Linked DNA regions of Nothobranchius furzeri. The protein of the gene in region 1 interacts with the protein of each later gene in a pairwise test. Links are inferred from orthologs where the notes say so. Each region holds a gene or a part of one and is shown in the gene's direction. Other genes may lie near its edges.

Evidence for each region.
Region 2: the proteins of mapk7 (region 1) and ube2c interact in binary tests that used the Homo sapiens proteins (3 or more experiments, as listed by UniProt). The two-hybrid records come from large-scale screens. The link is inferred for Nothobranchius furzeri from reciprocal best matches to the Homo sapiens genes MAPK7 and UBE2C.

Annotation. Positions count from the first base shown.
Region 1 is NC_091756.1:34,355,813-34,363,713, reverse strand, and holds the start of mapk7 (mitogen-activated protein kinase 7), read left to right. Parts: upstream 1-3,594; 5' UTR 3,595-3,855; intron 3,856-5,281; 5' UTR 5,282-5,285; coding exon 5,286-5,550; intron 5,551-5,621; coding exon of another isoform or gene 5,622-5,636; coding exon 5,637-5,802; intron 5,803-5,927; coding exon 5,928-7,414; coding exon of another isoform or gene 7,415-7,486; coding exon 7,487-7,901. Other genes in the region: vkorc1 (vitamin K epoxide reductase complex subunit 1), read right to left, coding at 1-193, 426-535, 969-1,150. UniProt on the Homo sapiens protein: Plays a role in various cellular processes such as proliferation, differentiation and cell survival. The upstream activator of MAPK7 is the MAPK kinase MAP2K5.
Region 2 is NC_091743.1:77,060,905-77,068,837, reverse strand, and holds ube2c (ubiquitin-conjugating enzyme E2 C), read left to right. Parts: upstream 1-3,633; 5' UTR 3,634-3,739; intron 3,740-3,985; 5' UTR 3,986-4,005; coding exon 4,006-4,112; intron 4,113-5,154; coding exon 5,155-5,182; intron 5,183-5,623; coding exon 5,624-5,710; intron 5,711-5,798; coding exon 5,799-6,003; intron 6,004-6,108; coding exon 6,109-6,168; intron 6,169-6,842; coding exon 6,843-6,880; 3' UTR 6,881-6,972; downstream 6,973-7,933. Other genes in the region: pik3c2b (phosphatidylinositol 4-phosphate 3-kinase C2 domain-containing subunit beta), read left to right, coding at 1-123, 690-881. UniProt on the Homo sapiens protein: Accepts ubiquitin from the E1 complex and catalyzes its covalent attachment to other proteins. In vitro catalyzes 'Lys-11'- and 'Lys-48'-linked polyubiquitination.

The DNA of each region.
Region 1 (7,901 bases):
ATCTCTTCAATTGCTCTCCTTCGTTTCAGGTTGGTATAGAGCAGAGCAAAATTGACGATGTATGTGGACACACACACCATGCAGAAATCTCCCAGAACAAAGGCCAGAATAGATGCGAGATAAAGAGAACCAGCCATGGACACCCAGGAGGACAGGACCAAGGCCAGGGCTGCTTTTCTGGACGGAGACAGTCCTGCAACAAAGACATGAATTACAGTCCCAGTTTGTGCAGAAGCAATCCCATAATCTTTGGTACGTTCTTGCTGTGTCTGATTTCGAATTCCATTTTTGGTTCTTTTTTAAAAACACAGAAAAGGTTTCCCATAATTTTCATATATGTAATTAAAATACAAACCAAACCACAGAAGACAAAGAAAAAAGCTTTCAGTCTAAAAACGCTGTTCTGGATTTAACATCAGACTAACCGAGGCCCATCTGTAGAGTGTAAAATATGATGCCAAGCAAACTGTTGGGTTGGTTCAGGGGGCTGTCTTTGTCCACGAAGAACTGGACCAGACCAAAACCACGTCCCCATCTGCAGAAAAAAAGAGTCAAAGTTCAGGCAAAACGCTTGTCTTGATAAATTACGTTTTTGCTTCTATTAAAACCCATCCATCCAATTGTCTTGTTATTCGTAGATAAATACTCCCACAATTTAAAATTGCATTCAAATGATTAACAAAATACTGTTTAGCAAAGGCTTTGGCATGTCTAGCAGAGGGACTCTGAGCTTTTCTGGAACAACAAGAAAGATAATTCCAATTGTTTTAAACAGCTACTCTAACAAAGACCAGTGTGCATGTGCATATTGGTGCAAGTGATGGAAAGTATTTCAATAATTTAACACGTGGATACCAAAGAGCTAGCAATCCCACGAGGAATCTGTTCTTGCGAAAATAAACCATATCAGCGAGGTTTGTTGGTTCTGCAGCTGTCTAAACAGAGCGAGGGGAGGAGAGATCTCCTACCTGGAGGTGAAAACCTTGGAGCAGCTCACGGATTCCCCCAGGTCACACATAGCTCTGTAGTCTGGGTCTCTCTCTCTGGAGATTTCCACATGGAGGGCATAAACAGACAGACACAGACCGAACAAACACAAAAACACTCTCGCTTTTCTCTCCCATCTCGGTAAACCCTGACGCGCAGCCATAAGGGAGACTTGGAACTATTATTTGTGTCGAACTGAAGAACTGACCCCTGGAACCGAACAGAATCCTCACGCAAAGCAACGTGTTACGTGTTAGAAACGCCATTTTCACTTCTGATTGGTCTAATAGTGTTTCATCCCTCTCTCTCTAACTGGACGATTCGGTCCACGTGTTACAGCAGACAGGAAGAGTTCTCTTGTTTCTTATTATTATATTTTTTATTTAGTAAATTTACAAACAAACATGGCACTTTGACAATGTTAAGTCCAAAACTTAAATTCAAAAGGAGCAGTTAACTTGCTATAACATTTGTAAATATCTAGTAATAAGACAACAACAAGAGACAAAAGAACATAAAGAACAAGTAGAGTACAGCTTTCAATGAGGGTACAGCATTTATCATATAGAAATAGGAAATCACTTTGGAAGTTCAGCTAACGTGTTATATAGATTTTTGCTATATTTGTTGAGGTGTTTCAGAGATTTTAAACATAATTGAAATTCTATTAAAAAACATTGAAGACATGGGATGATTGTAAAATTCATTGTTTATGGGTACAAAATTGGTTGTTTCTTGTTTAAAGGGACTTTTCGGACTTTTGAATTTTTATGCTCGCGATTGCCCCCTCAGGCCAAAAGCGTAACGGCAGCTTCAATAGTAGGCTTGTGCACGAGGCGCGCATGCTGTACGTGCACACTCCTTAAGGAAAATATATAACAGCTGAGACAGTCCCGTGTGTGTGTGTGTGTGTGTGTGTGTGTGTGTGTGTGTGTGTGTGTGTGTGTGTGTGTGTGTGTGTGTGTGTGTGTGTGTGTGTGGCCCGGAGGACAGAGGACAAGAGAACACTCAGTTAATTAATTAAATAATTTGGTTCTGTACTCTTCAGCACAGCCGACAAAGGTTTAAGATGGGTCAGTCCTCCTGCATGCTCAGATCATTCCCTTCCCTTGCTTGAACAATTGTTCCAAAATGAAAGTTGAACCCACATCTTTTTTATTCGTGAATTCAATGCCTTTCGGTGAGTCTCAAAAAAAAATTTGGGCATCTTATTACTGTAAAAAACATATACCATCAATGTAAATATAGTCGAGTGTTCACCAAACTAGGGTTCTTATGTAAATCACAGAGGTGTGACCAAGTCACTGCTTTGCAAGTCACAAGTAAGTTACAAGTCTTTCCAGTCAAGTCAAAGACAACCAAGTCCAAGTCGAGTCCAAAGTCAATGATATGGAAGTCCAAGTCAAGTCCAAGTCCTTAACTTTGAATTTTCAAGTCATAATCAAGTCATCTGTCCAACTTCAATTGAACCCTCCTACTGTCCTAATGGGTGACCCCGCCAGGAAAGTTGACCATTGAGCAGGAATGACGGTTTATCCCTTGAGGTCCATGTGGCAGCAGGGGTGAGGTCATATAAACCATCAACCCTGCTCAATGGTCAACGTTCCTGGCGGGGCCACCCATTAGGACAGTGGGAGGGTTAATGACAATGATAATAAATAAATTCCAGAAATAAAGCTTCTTTAAAATCCATTTATTTGCTGAAACAAGTAAAAAGTGCAACTGAAATAGATTACAAACAAAGTGCTGCTGCATTTAGCAGAACAAGATCAAACCCAGAACGAAGAATGATGTAAGATTTTTGTTCATGTCATGTCCCTTTTGTGCTAAAATATGAAAAACGCTCAAGTCGTCATCAAGTCAACAGATGCAAGTCGATTCATATCGCAAGTCATTGGAGTTCAAGTCTAAGTCAAGTCGTAAGTCTTTATAGATTTTATCAAGTCAGAAGTCATTAAAATAAACACTCGAGTCTGACTCAAGTCCAAGTCGTGTGACTCGAGTCCACACCTCTGTTAAATCGTGTTGTTATAATTGAATACGACACATTTACCGGTTCTGGACAAATTGTGTTGCTTTGTTCAAAAAGTACAAAGTACACAAACCATGAAAGCAAATTAAAACAGTATTTAAAATTGGTATCATACGTAAGCTCACATCAAAAACGTGCCTCAACAGGCTAAAAGCTATTATTTTAAAAATGTCATCTTTTCTGAAAAAAAAAAAATTAACTAATGTAATTTGTGCTTTAATTCTATTTAGAAGGGGGGTTCAGTAAGATCTTATTTAAAACAAACTTTTATTAATTTTCTGCCGAAAGATAATTCCTCCTTTTTAGAAGTCTTTTGACTAATATTTTATTATTTTACCATTTAGAATTTGCTACAGTCCCTTGATTGCTCCATATACAAATTGTTTGTATAACACTGGCTGGTATTTTTTGCTCGATCGGAATCTGGCAAATTGCAGCGTCGCCACCCAAAATTAAATAAATACCACAGAGCCCTTAGTGTCCAATGTAAAGTCCCGCCCTCTTTAGACGTTCTCTATTCCTATTGGTTAGTTTTCTGGTCCTCCTCTCCTTTAATTGGTCCGCCGCTTGGCACTCAACTAAAACATGGAAGTGATTGAGGAAGCTGCAGACAAAACAACTGTATAATCGTGCAGGTTGGCGATTTAAAAAAGAGTGGACCGTAGGGGCTTTGCTCACGACTTGGACGCATTGTACGCAATTTGTAAACGGGGTTTCGAAGTGTGAAGTTTTGTTTTCATGTGGATGAAGTTATGGTTTTACGGCTCAAGAGAAACCTAGAGCCTCACGTAACGTTAACTAGCCGACGCCCCTGTGGGTTAGGCTGCTCCTGTCAAGTAAGTTATTCTTTGTTACCATGTAACGTCAATGTTTAAATGCTGTAATCATCCGCTTCAGTTGGGTTCGTCATCAGGCTTCTCTAAACACTAAAAGCTACAGGTTTGGTCTAAAAGAGTTCAATCCAGGCCTCAAGGTGTGAAGTAAACGAGGAACAATGCACTGCTAAAAATAAAGGAAACACAAAAATAAGACACCCTAGATCTGAATGAATGAAGTATCGTTATTAATCTCATGAGGGATCTCCTCCGAGATCTGGACTAAAGCATCCACCAACTTCTGGACAGTGTGTGGCAACGTGGTGTTGGTGGATGGAGCGAGATGATGTTCCAGATGTGCTCAATTAGACTCAGTTCAGGGAAACGGGCGGGCCAGTCCATAGCATCAGTGCCTTGTCAGGTGAAACTGACTGTTGCTTCCTAAGTGGACAATTTGGTTTCACAGAAGTGTGATTGACTTGGAATTACATTGTGCAGTTTATGCGTTCACTTTATTTTCTTGAGCAGTGCATTTAAACCAGGAGCACGTACGAGCTATCTCATATACTACATAAATTAATTAATGAAAAGGCAATAAAATAAAGATAAAATAATATTTTTAAGATGATTAATGTCTCCGTGCTGTTGGAATACACACACACACACACACACACACACACACACACACTCTATGTGTAACTTTTTCACAGGCTGGCAAAGTATGGGATTTTTTCCAAGTTCGGATTAGTACAGAAGAAAATGAAAAGACTTGAAACTCTACGTTTATGTTTATTCCCAGAAAAAAAATATGACTGAATAATGCATTATGGCAGTCAATGGCATAGATGCCATTAATTACAGTTAACAGCTGTGTATTAAACCTTAACAGAAGATCATTTTGAATTAAATTTCAAAAACAGACAGAAAAATGAATGAAAATAATAAAATAAGATCCAGAGTTGTCTAAAATTTGTGCAAACTCTTAATGCTTTTTTAGTGATTCCATTAATTTTTTTAAAATGACATCTGAGGTTACGTCTTATTTCTTCATAGACAGTTAAATGAACATTTTTACCTATTCAATAATCCCAGGTGTACCTCTGCTCAAATAATTTTTAAATGTTACCACAAACATTTTTTTCTTTGATTTAGCAAAACAATTTACTAAGTAAACATAATAACTTCAGAACATATTATTAAGGTTCACCAACAGTCTATGTTTTCATGGTTTACGTCTGGCCCATTTCATCAGTTGGTAAGAGTGTTTAATACCTTTTTTAAATAAGCAGAGAAACTTTGTCTTTATAAACATGTAAAAACTTAAAACGCTTATCAATCACAACATTGACTTCATAATCATTTATGTAATAATAAAATAATATTTGACAGATATTCAGAGAAGGACATGGGAAACAATATAACTTACGGACTCACTTTGGTACTACAGAAACATGTCCACTGAGCGCTGTGGAGATGCCAAAAGCACCATGTCGCCTGAAAAAATGGCCACCGAAAACAGCAGAGAGAGCCAGAACCAGCGTGAGGCCGAGGCAGCAGGCAGCACCTCAGACACCAGCACAGCAGCAACAAACCTGGCTTTGCTTAAAGCGCACTCTCTAGATGTGAAGTTCGATGTTGGGGAGGAGTACGATATCATAGAAACCATTGGTACTGGTGCTTATGGCGTCGTTTCATCGGCCAGAAGAAGGGACAACGGTAAGGAAGATGTCTTTAAAGAGTTTGGAAAATGTCCTCTGTTTGAAATAAGTCACGATGAAATGTTCTACATGTGCACTCCACAGGCAAGCAGGTGGCGATAAAGAAGATCTCCAATGCTTTTGAAGTGGTAACAAATGCTAAACGAACATTAAGAGAGCTGAAGATTCTCAAGCATTTCAAACATGACAACATTATTGCCATCAAAGACATCCTACAGCCGAACCTTCCCCACTCTGCCTTTAAGTCCGTGTATGTAATGTACTTTATTGTTTTTGTGATGCCAACTCTGCACATATCTGAACATTACACTGTTGCAAACACAAGATCCTTAGTATTTGGTCAGCTGCTTGTCTAAGTCATCTCTGTGTGTGCAGGTATGTGGTGTTGGACCTCATGGAGAGTGACCTACACCAGATCATTCACTCTGCGCAGACTCTAACCCCTGAGCACACGCGTTACTTCCTGTACCAGCTCCTCCGTGGCCTCAAATACGTGCACTCTGCCAATGTCATCCACCGCGACCTCAAACCCTCCAACCTGTTGGTGAATGAAAACTGTGAGCTGAAAATTGGTGACTTTGGCATGGCGAGGGGTCTGAGTTCACACCCAGAGGAGTCTCACTCCTTCATGACGGAGTACGTGGCGACCCGATGGTACCGTGCTCCTGAGCTGCTTCTGTCTTTGAACCATTACAGTTTGGCCATTGACATGTGGTCTGTGGGCTGCATCTTCGCTGAAATGTTGGGCCGTAAACAGCTTTTTCCTGGGAAACATTATGTGCACCAGCTCCAGCTGATTTTGAGTGTGCTAGGCACTCCTCCTGAGGATTTGATCAGCACCATTAGAGCTGAGAGGGTCCGTTCCTATGTTCAGAGTCTTCCACCGCGGACCCCTGTGCCTTTGGCTAAACTGTACCCCCAAGCTGAACCGGAGGCTTTAGGCCTATTGGCGGCTATGTTGCGCTTCAATTCCCGTGAACGCATCAGCGTGAAGGACGCACTGGAGCATCCTTACCTGGCTAAGTACCATGACTCGGACGACGAGCCCAGCTGTGTGCCAGCTTTTGACTTTGAGTTTGATAAGCTTCCAATGAATAAAGAACAAATTAAAGAGGCCATTTTGATGGAGATCCAGGACTTTCATAAAAAGAACCTGAACTGTCGTCAAAGACTCCAGTTCAGGCCTTTGCCTAGGGCCCATAGTGGAGCGGCAGCTCAAAACAGCAACCAGCAAAGAGCTCAACCAGTAAATGTGGACCTGAACAAACAAATGGCACAGCACACACAAATCCAGCAACCCAGAGATGTGAAACCTCATCAGCAACACGATCAGCCACCAGCAGATGTGAGCCAAGCATTTTCAAACCAGATAAAAACCTTTCATAAGCCTGCAGATCTTTTAGAAGTCGTCCCACCTCATGTGACCCATAATTTCCCCCTCCTCAGTAAAAGCCAAGCGTGTCCCGTTGATGTGGACATGCCCAGTGCCAACTCTGACAGTGGTCAGCTGGAGACAATTGATTTAACAACCCCAGTGTCCACTCAGGATGCTCCGTCTGAATCGATGAGAGTCAGCGAGTCCCAGCTGCCTCCTAGCACCCAGAGCCGGCCCGTGGCCTCCATCCCTGCGACACAAGCACAGACCATCACCCCCCTTCCCACCACTGTGCCTTCACTTTCTCTGTCGGCAGCGCAGGCCCAGTCTCTGTCCCAGTCACTTTCCCAGTCTCTGTCCAAGAATGCAAGGCCTCCTCCGCGTGCACCAGAGGGAACCAGGAAAGGCACCGCCATTTCAGACGATACTAAAGCTGCACTCAAGGCAGCCCTACTGAAATCAGCTCTCAGACATAAAGTCAGGACCGGTAAGTTCATTTTTCTACCATCCTCTCTGGTATGCTTCCCTTTCTCGATTTGATTCTGATTGTGTTTTGCAGATGGAGGTGTCTCAGTTCTGGGCACTGACGCGGTTATATCAGGAGGCATCTCGTCTTCTACTCCTGAGTTGCGGCGGCCTGTCACAGCCCAGGAGCGTCAACGAGAGAGAGAAGAGAAAAGAAGGAAGAGGCAGGAACGCGCAAAAGAGAAGGAGAGGAAAATGAAAGAAAAGGAAAGACGAGAGGGAAAACAAGGGGATTTGCTGGGTGGTGTTCTGCTGAGCGACAACGACAAAAGCCTGCTGCAGCGCTGGACGAAGATGATGGACAGCTGCAGCGACAAATCCCATAATGCTAGTAACGAGGGACCAAAGGGTAAGGATTGTAACTCACACAGATGTGTCGGCGAAAACGTCCTGAACAATAAAACTGACAGAGACGTGAGGAAAATTCAGTCAAATGAGCCTTTGGTCCC
Region 2 (7,933 bases), on another chromosome or scaffold:
CTGCAGGATGGCACCGACCCTGACCCTTATGTGAAGCTCTACCTTCTGCCAGACCCCATGAAGATGAGCAAGAAGAAGACGAAAGCTGCACGCCGCACCTGTAACCCTACCTACAACGAGATGGTGCGGAAGCTTCCTGCAGCCAAACTTTTATATTAACCAGTTAGTGTTGATGTTGATTAGCTGCACCGGCCATCTTTAAAAGTTGGCATTCATCCAATGGCAAATTTCATTACAACTCATTCAGTGGTTTAGGAAGTGTTTTGGCAAAAACATTATCATCCACCTTTTATAGTAATTACTGTTAAAAACGTGTAATAAATACTACAAACGTTTTGATGCAACATTACCAACCTGTTGTCAAATGCAGCAATCAGTGATGCTGCAAAAACAGAACATGGCCTAAATTCCTTCCGATCGCTTTAATCCGTAATCTGCAAATCTGAAACTGTACTCTGAATTTGTTTCCAGTCAGATCCACGAACACACCAGTGTCAAGCAGCTTTTAAGTCTATTTGCCGTCGCCAAGCTGTCACATCAGCTGGTCCAAACATCTGGACCTCAGTCTCAGGATTCTTTAGAGACAGAACCGAACATTCCGGGACTGAACTGGGTTTTACACTGAGAAGAATTTTATTGCTGTAACAATGTAAAGTAACAATGACGATGTCTCTCCCTGTTTCCTACAGCTGGTGTATGATCGCATCCCTCGGGGGGATCTGGACCAGCGCTTGATCCACCTCAGGGTTCTGAGCGACGGCGCCTTCTGGGAGAACACGCTGCTGGGGCAGACCTTCATCCATCTGAACAGGCTGGTCCCAGGTCAGCACTGGGTGGACTGGCACCAGCTGGGTGGGGCTGGCTCAGACTCGGCCCACTGACACAGTGGAAACAAAGGAAAGTCCTTTCAAAGTAAAAGCTGTGAAGGCTTAACCTCCCTTAGATTGTGTATGAGTGGGGTTAGCACCAGGTGAGAATTCTTCAGGTGATTGTTTGTAGTTTGCAGGATTAAAATTGTTTTTAAAGGGAGTTTCCCATCACTGTTGGATAGAAGAGGCAAATCTGAGATGATTTTCCTGGACATTAGGTAAAAACTGAACTAGCAGACTAATTTCAACTGGAGTCTCACCTGTGACCTGAAAGGACAGGTGAGGAGCTCAGAGGATTCATCTTTATCTGATTTAAAGCTGAAGCTGTGGTGAGTTGTTCTGTGTATCACAAGGAAGCAGAAATCAGCTGAGTGGAAACTTTGTCTGACTAACGCAAGTCCCATCGACCCGGAAGCCGATCTCGGATCAGAGACTAAAAAACAAACATTTCACCGAAGAGATGGGAAACAAAGGGATGAAAAGACAACTTCGCTGGAGGTTTCTGGATGAAACAAGCTGCTGAACTGTTGATTAAACAAAATCTTATCTCCTGAAAATAAATCAAGGCTGAGCTCAGAGATGAAGCAGCTGGAGCAGGTCAGGGGTCAAAGATCAGGGGTCAGGTGATGTTCTGCTGCTGCATTTCTGAGTCATGTGTTTTTTTGTTTTGTTTGTTGAATTCCTTTGGTTTCTATGCACTGTAGACCAGATGAGAGCAGCAGAACTCAAACGGGTCATCCAGCTGCAGTTGGAGCAAAGTGGATCAGAACCATATCAGAACTCTATAGGCTGAACTCGGACCTAGGTCCTGCTCAGTGGTCCGTGAGAGGTCACTGGTTTTGGACAAATGGAGCTGCATTCCTCTTTTGGATGTGACCGATACCGAGCTCTGTCATCACGGTAACAGATGATGGAGACCTACGCTCATCGGTCTCTGAGGACTGGCTGCTGTAGGTTGTGGACTGTGATTGGTTCACTGATCCAGAGACAGAAAATCAGCTGACCAGATGGAATGCAGATGTGTTGAGTGAAGCTCCGTCCACCAGCTGACCCAGACAGGTGAGTGGTTTGAGTCGTTAAGCTGACTGAACTTTGTGAAAATGAAAATGTGACGAGTTTGGAAACTTTTTTTATTATTTGCACTAAACAATAAACTTTAATTGAAAACTTCTGTTTGTGTTTTTGTTCAGATTCAGGTGGGGCCGTGCGCCAGTGACTCAAATAATTATGGGATCTGTGAAATGATGCAGTTTAATTCTAAATAATACGGTGAAGGTGCTACAAAGTCCTAAAACGTTCCAGATAGGTCTGAGGGGCATTGTGAGAGAATATGGTGATAAAATGCTTTAAAAAGAAAAATATTGTCATGACATCATTTTTAACCTTTCAAAGAAAATTCACAAAAATACTTGAAATGTTAAGTTTTAATCCTTGAATTAAATAGAGAAAAATTATTTTATTTTTTACCTTTGTGATTTTGTTCTTGTATTCTAGTTTAAAAACCTGTTTTTCCTAATTAATGGGATTTGGTTGCAACAACAAAAAACTTTCATTTTCTTGTTCACTTTGTATTTATGGTTTGTGGTATTATTGTTGCTTTGAAAAAATAAACATGGGCTTACACACACACACACAATTCCCATCTCACCCTCCGCGGGTGGTCTCATCCAAGCTTGGGTCCTCTACCAGAGGCCTGGGAGCTTGAGGGTTCTGCAGTATCTTAGCTGTTCCTAGAGCTGCACTTTTCTGGACTGAGATGGTTTTCCTGGGATTCCTCCAGTCTGGGGGTTACTGCCCTGATGCCCATGAGCACCACCGATGTCTTCATTCTCCAGGCTTTCTCAAGTTCTTCTTTGAGGCCCAGGTAGTTTCTCATGCTCCTTTTTCCTGAGGTTACATCACTTTGTATCGCTATATCAACCACAACAGCTGTCCTCTGTTGTTTGTCCTCCAACACAATGTCCGGATGGTTCTCCATCACCATTTTATCAGTTTGGATCTGGAAGTCCCACAAGAGCTTGGCTCTTGTTCTCAACCACCTTAGGGGGTGTTACCCACTTTGACCTTGGGGCTTCCAGTCCATGCTCTGCACAGACGTTCCTGTACACTATGCCAGCAGCTTGGTTGTGGCGTTCCTTGTATGCTTTCCTTCCCAGCATCTTACACCCTGCAGTTATGTGGTGGATTGTCTCAGGGTTCTACACCTTGGGTCTTGTCTGGTGTGGTAGATGTTCAGGGCCTGTTCCTGTGCAGCCATGATGAGTGCCTCTGTGCTATTCTTCAGACCAGCTCTTTCTAGTTCTTGGTAGGATTTCTTGATATCAGCCACTTCATTATATATATATATATATATATATATATATATATATATATATATATATATATATATATATATATATATATATATATATATATATATATATATATATATTCCCCTCTGACCCTCTGCAGGTGTACTCATCCTCCCAAGCTCCAATTTTTGTGATCCATCATTTAACTTGATTTAGGCTCTTGACTCTTCTAGGAGATTTTATACATCCCTGTAGGAGGAGGGGTAAACAAAAATGTGTTTAATAACTTAGATTTTAAGTTCATTTATTTAAAAAACGCGTTTAAAATAACAAATTGAACCAATGACTTCCGCTGTGTGAACGCCTAGATGGTGGGGGCGGGTTCTGGCTGATTCTACTGGCCAATTACAGTGTAGCTTTTTAATCACCATCTTCTCATTGGTTCGATGAGGGTAGTTCATTTTTTGAAAGTCAGACACTGATTGGCTGTTTGTGAGGAAACGTCGTTTTAAACTGGGGGCGGCAGAAGAATCGGTTTGAATCTAGAGAATCCAGCCTTCCACCACGAACTGAACACCGGTGAGTGTTTAAATCAGCTATAGTATGGCTATAAATGTAATCATGTGTTAGCATGAAGACAAAGAGCCAGTGGTTCTGACCGGTACCACGAGGCACGGCTCAGCGTTTTCTCTGAAATCTCCGGGAGTTAGCATGTAGCTGCTGTTAGCTACAGAAGCTACGGCCCGCTCGGTTGGATTTGATCGGCTCGGTTCGGCCTGCCTCCCCTGCTCAGTCCGTCTGATGTTATATCTGTGTCCTCGGCAGGAGTCGGACTAGCAGCATTCATGGCCTCCCAGAATATGGACCCCGCCGCGGCTGCAGCTTCCTCCACGGCCGCTCTGAAAGGCAGCGAAAGCAGTGGCAACGCGACCAGAGGCTCGGTGACCAAACGGTGAGTTCCGGGCCGTTACAGAACCGGAACCTTACAGGTGTAAAGAATGGGTCGTTTACATCTTACTTCTGAACCATAAAATGTGAGATTCCATAGAAATATGAAATATCAATCTGATGGATCTTTGTTCAGAAGATCGGAACTTTTTATTGCAGGGATTAAGCAACACTTTGTACTAACTCCAAGGAAAGAGAGAGAGTCAGGTTTAAAATAGTTAAAGAAATGTACTTCTACACAATTTAAACAAGAATAACTTAAACACTGTGTACTGATGGAACTAAGGTGGTGTGTGTGTGTGTGTGTGTGTGTGTGTGTGTGTGTGTGATGTTGTTCAGAACCAGCGGCTCCGTAGAAGCAGTTAATTCTGAGTGGGAGTGAATGTTTTGCTCTAAACTTTAGTTGGAGATATATAACACACATGAAACGCCATCTGTCGGTCTACGTTTCTGCTGGACTTGGTTCTTCTTTGGACAATAAAATATCAATAACCCAGTGAGTTCTCCAGCAATGTGAGCCTGCAGCTGCATAACTAGAGATGTGCCAGGATAATCTAAACTAACCTAGAGTCTACGCAAAGGTGCTTCTGCTTGATGTGGTGGAAACATGAAGCTGGTTCCACCAGAGGAGCCTGAGAACTGGAAGTTCTGCCTCCTTACTACTTTTAGGACCGCTGGAAAGTTGAAGCCACAAGTAAAAAGCAGCCTGAGAGCCAAGTGTTCTGCTGGGAACATCTGGAACAAGAGCATCATTAATCGAAAAAGCGTGATCCTTCAGATTTGGAAATAAAATTGAAACTCAATTCTGGATATTTTAGCTAATGAAGTGATCCTAAAACTGAAGAAATCTGATCTCTCCTGGTTTTATTCATCACAAAAATGAATTTTATGAAACAGGAAAGTTTGAGTTGTTAACTGATCAGGTGCTTGAATTTTTTTTATTTGTGAAACAAATTGTTCTGTTATTGATCTTATTACTGCAGCTTATTTCTGGACCTGTGTTGCACTTGTTTAATTCGTATGTGTGTGTGTGTGTGTGTGTGTAGGTTGCAGCAGGAGCTGATGACTCTCATGGTAAGTTCACATCTATAGTTTTATTTTGGTTTCAATAACAAAATGAAAGATGGACGATCCTAACGGGTCACAGGACAGTTGTTAGTCAGAATGTTAACGAACCTGATGACCTGCACAAGTTCATCCTCATTGGGTGGTGGTGTTTACTCATTGATTGATGCACCCATAGTCACACGATCTCCTGCCTCAACACTAATGCAGAGTTGGTGCTGGTTAGGATGAGTGTTTAGCTTGAAGTGCACAGGTGGCGTTAGTCATCTGCAGGTCAGCTGCTCCGTTCTCATCCAGACACTTATCAATGATTTGTTTGTTTCTGTGATTGATTTCTCTGGTCTGATCATTCACACAGGAGCATCAATACCAACATACCTGACATTAGTAAAATCAACAAAACCTGATATTTCTGAGGTCATGTGACCTGTGCGTTCCTCCCTCCTGTAGATGTCGGGTGATAAGGGCATCTCTGCTTTTCCAGAATCGGATAATCTCTTCAAATGGGTCGGAACCATCGATGGAGCCCAAGGAACAGTATGACCACATAAATACAGCACGATCTAAAACTTGACCCCTCCACTTGCTGCTCTGATTCACCCGACACTCTTACCTGTGTGCCCAGGTGTACGAAGGCCTCCGGTACCGTCTGTCTCTGGAGTTTCCAGCTGGGTATCCGTACCATGCTCCTCGGGTAAAGTTCGTCACTCCGTGTTTCCATCCCAATGTGGACGATCAGGGCTTCATCTGTCTCGACATCCTGAAGGACAAGTGGTCGGCACTGTACGATGTTCGTTCTATCCTGCTGTCCATCCAGAGTCTACTGGGAGGTAACCGGAACCACCAGTTTGCTGTCTGCTAAAACCTGATGGATCCATCAGAGCCATCTTTGCACAGCTCAGAGAGCAGCACACAATTCCTTCTGTATTCCCCAGAACCAAACAACGAGAGTCCTCTGAACACGACCGCAGCAGAACTGTGGAGCAACCAAGGTGGTAAGTACACCCACAACCTTTCAGGCAGCCAGCAGAACCCAGAGAACGGCCAGCTACTAATACAATCGGTGTTTGGGTACTTTTGAGCAGTTCTCTTTTGTGACTTTGCTGGTGAAGGTTCTGTCATCCAGGTCATGGTAACCCAAAAGGATTCAAATGAAAGTGACTGGACTTCTTTGGTTTGAAGACGTTTCGCTTCTCATCCGAGGAGCTTTGTCAGTTCTAACTGGAAATGGGAGAGTCAAGCTTATAAGCTGTAGCTGCCTATTGTCTATAGAGGCCAACGACTCAGTGGGTAGAGAGGAGGGGTACTCAGAGTAGTTTCGGCTCGTTAAATAACAGATTCCAGTCAGAATTGACAAAGCTCCTCAAAGGAGAAGCAAAACGTCTTCAAGAAGCCAGAGAAGTCCAGTTGCCTTCATTTGAAACCTTTTTGGACTCCTTTTGTGACTTTATTCCTTTTCATTTTAAACATCTGCTGGGTTCAACCTCCTCTGCAGCCAATCAGACAGCTGTCCTTTTAAACTGAGCTGAGCCTGTTTTCTCCTGGAGTGAACTAAATGACCTGCAGATGATACAGATGTAGAACTGACCTCAGACCAGTTTGTGAGCTCTGTACATGCAGCAAACGATTTTGGGAGCTGTAGTTCTGACTGTTTTTTTTCTCTCTCTAGCCTTCAAAGCTCACCTGCACGCTACCTTCCAGAAGTGAAGCAGTCCCAGCTTTTCTTCTTCCGTCTGTTTTGTTTGTATAATATTTTTATGTTTGTTTACATTGTTGTGTCAATAAAGTTCTTAATTCAACACTCTTTCATAAAATAATTTCCTATCTTTACAGTCAATAATACTGACAGCATCACAGTAATGAATGAATCAACATAAATGTTTATTCTGGAAATGTTTTATTTCAGATCTTAAAAACACCACATGATTCTACTTGTTGAATTTAATGATTTATTATCAGTATATTCACATAATATTACTATATTGATAATGACTGTATAACAGATTTACTTCATGTTAAGTGTAATGAGCCTCTAAGTGTTGCAGGAACGAAGTGGTGTCTGAAGACGTTCTACATACTGGTTTGTCTAACTTTGTAAAGAACCCGTTTTATAAAAGACAATTTACTTCCTGGATTCTTCAGTTCTAGCACGCTGTCCTGTTAGGCCAACTGGGTCAGTAGCATAAGGAACCATCCTTCTTTGCAAAACTCCCATCAGAGAAACCTCTCAGACGTGCAACATCTCGCCAGCAGACCTGGATGTATCTCACTGGCCAGTTGTGCAAATTCAAAGGAAGCTGCGACCTTTGACCTTCCAGAAGTCAACTCCTCCCAACAGCAAGCTGACTACTCCCTAGCCAGCTGGACCTACCTAGAACTTCCATCACAAGGGTAATCGTGGTCTCTCACCTGGCGACAGGATGGTTTTAATAATTTGTTAAAGAGCAAGTCACCCCCGACCAGATTCTTTCTCAACTCCCACTTCCTGTTTGAAAAATGCAACAAATGCTGTTGCCTAGCAAACAGAGGGTGGAGCCGCTAACAAATACACTCACGACATTGTGACATAATGTCCCATCTAACATCAGGGTACCTCTTAGCCAATAGCAATGGCAGATTTAAATTCAAACGCAGTGCAGAGTTTTTGCCTGATGACGTGCATCGTTGACCGTTTTAGGCAGAAAATTTAAATTTTAACTAAGATGCACTAAAGTGCCAAATTTATTGACTACATTTGTCTACAGCACGATCAGACACTCA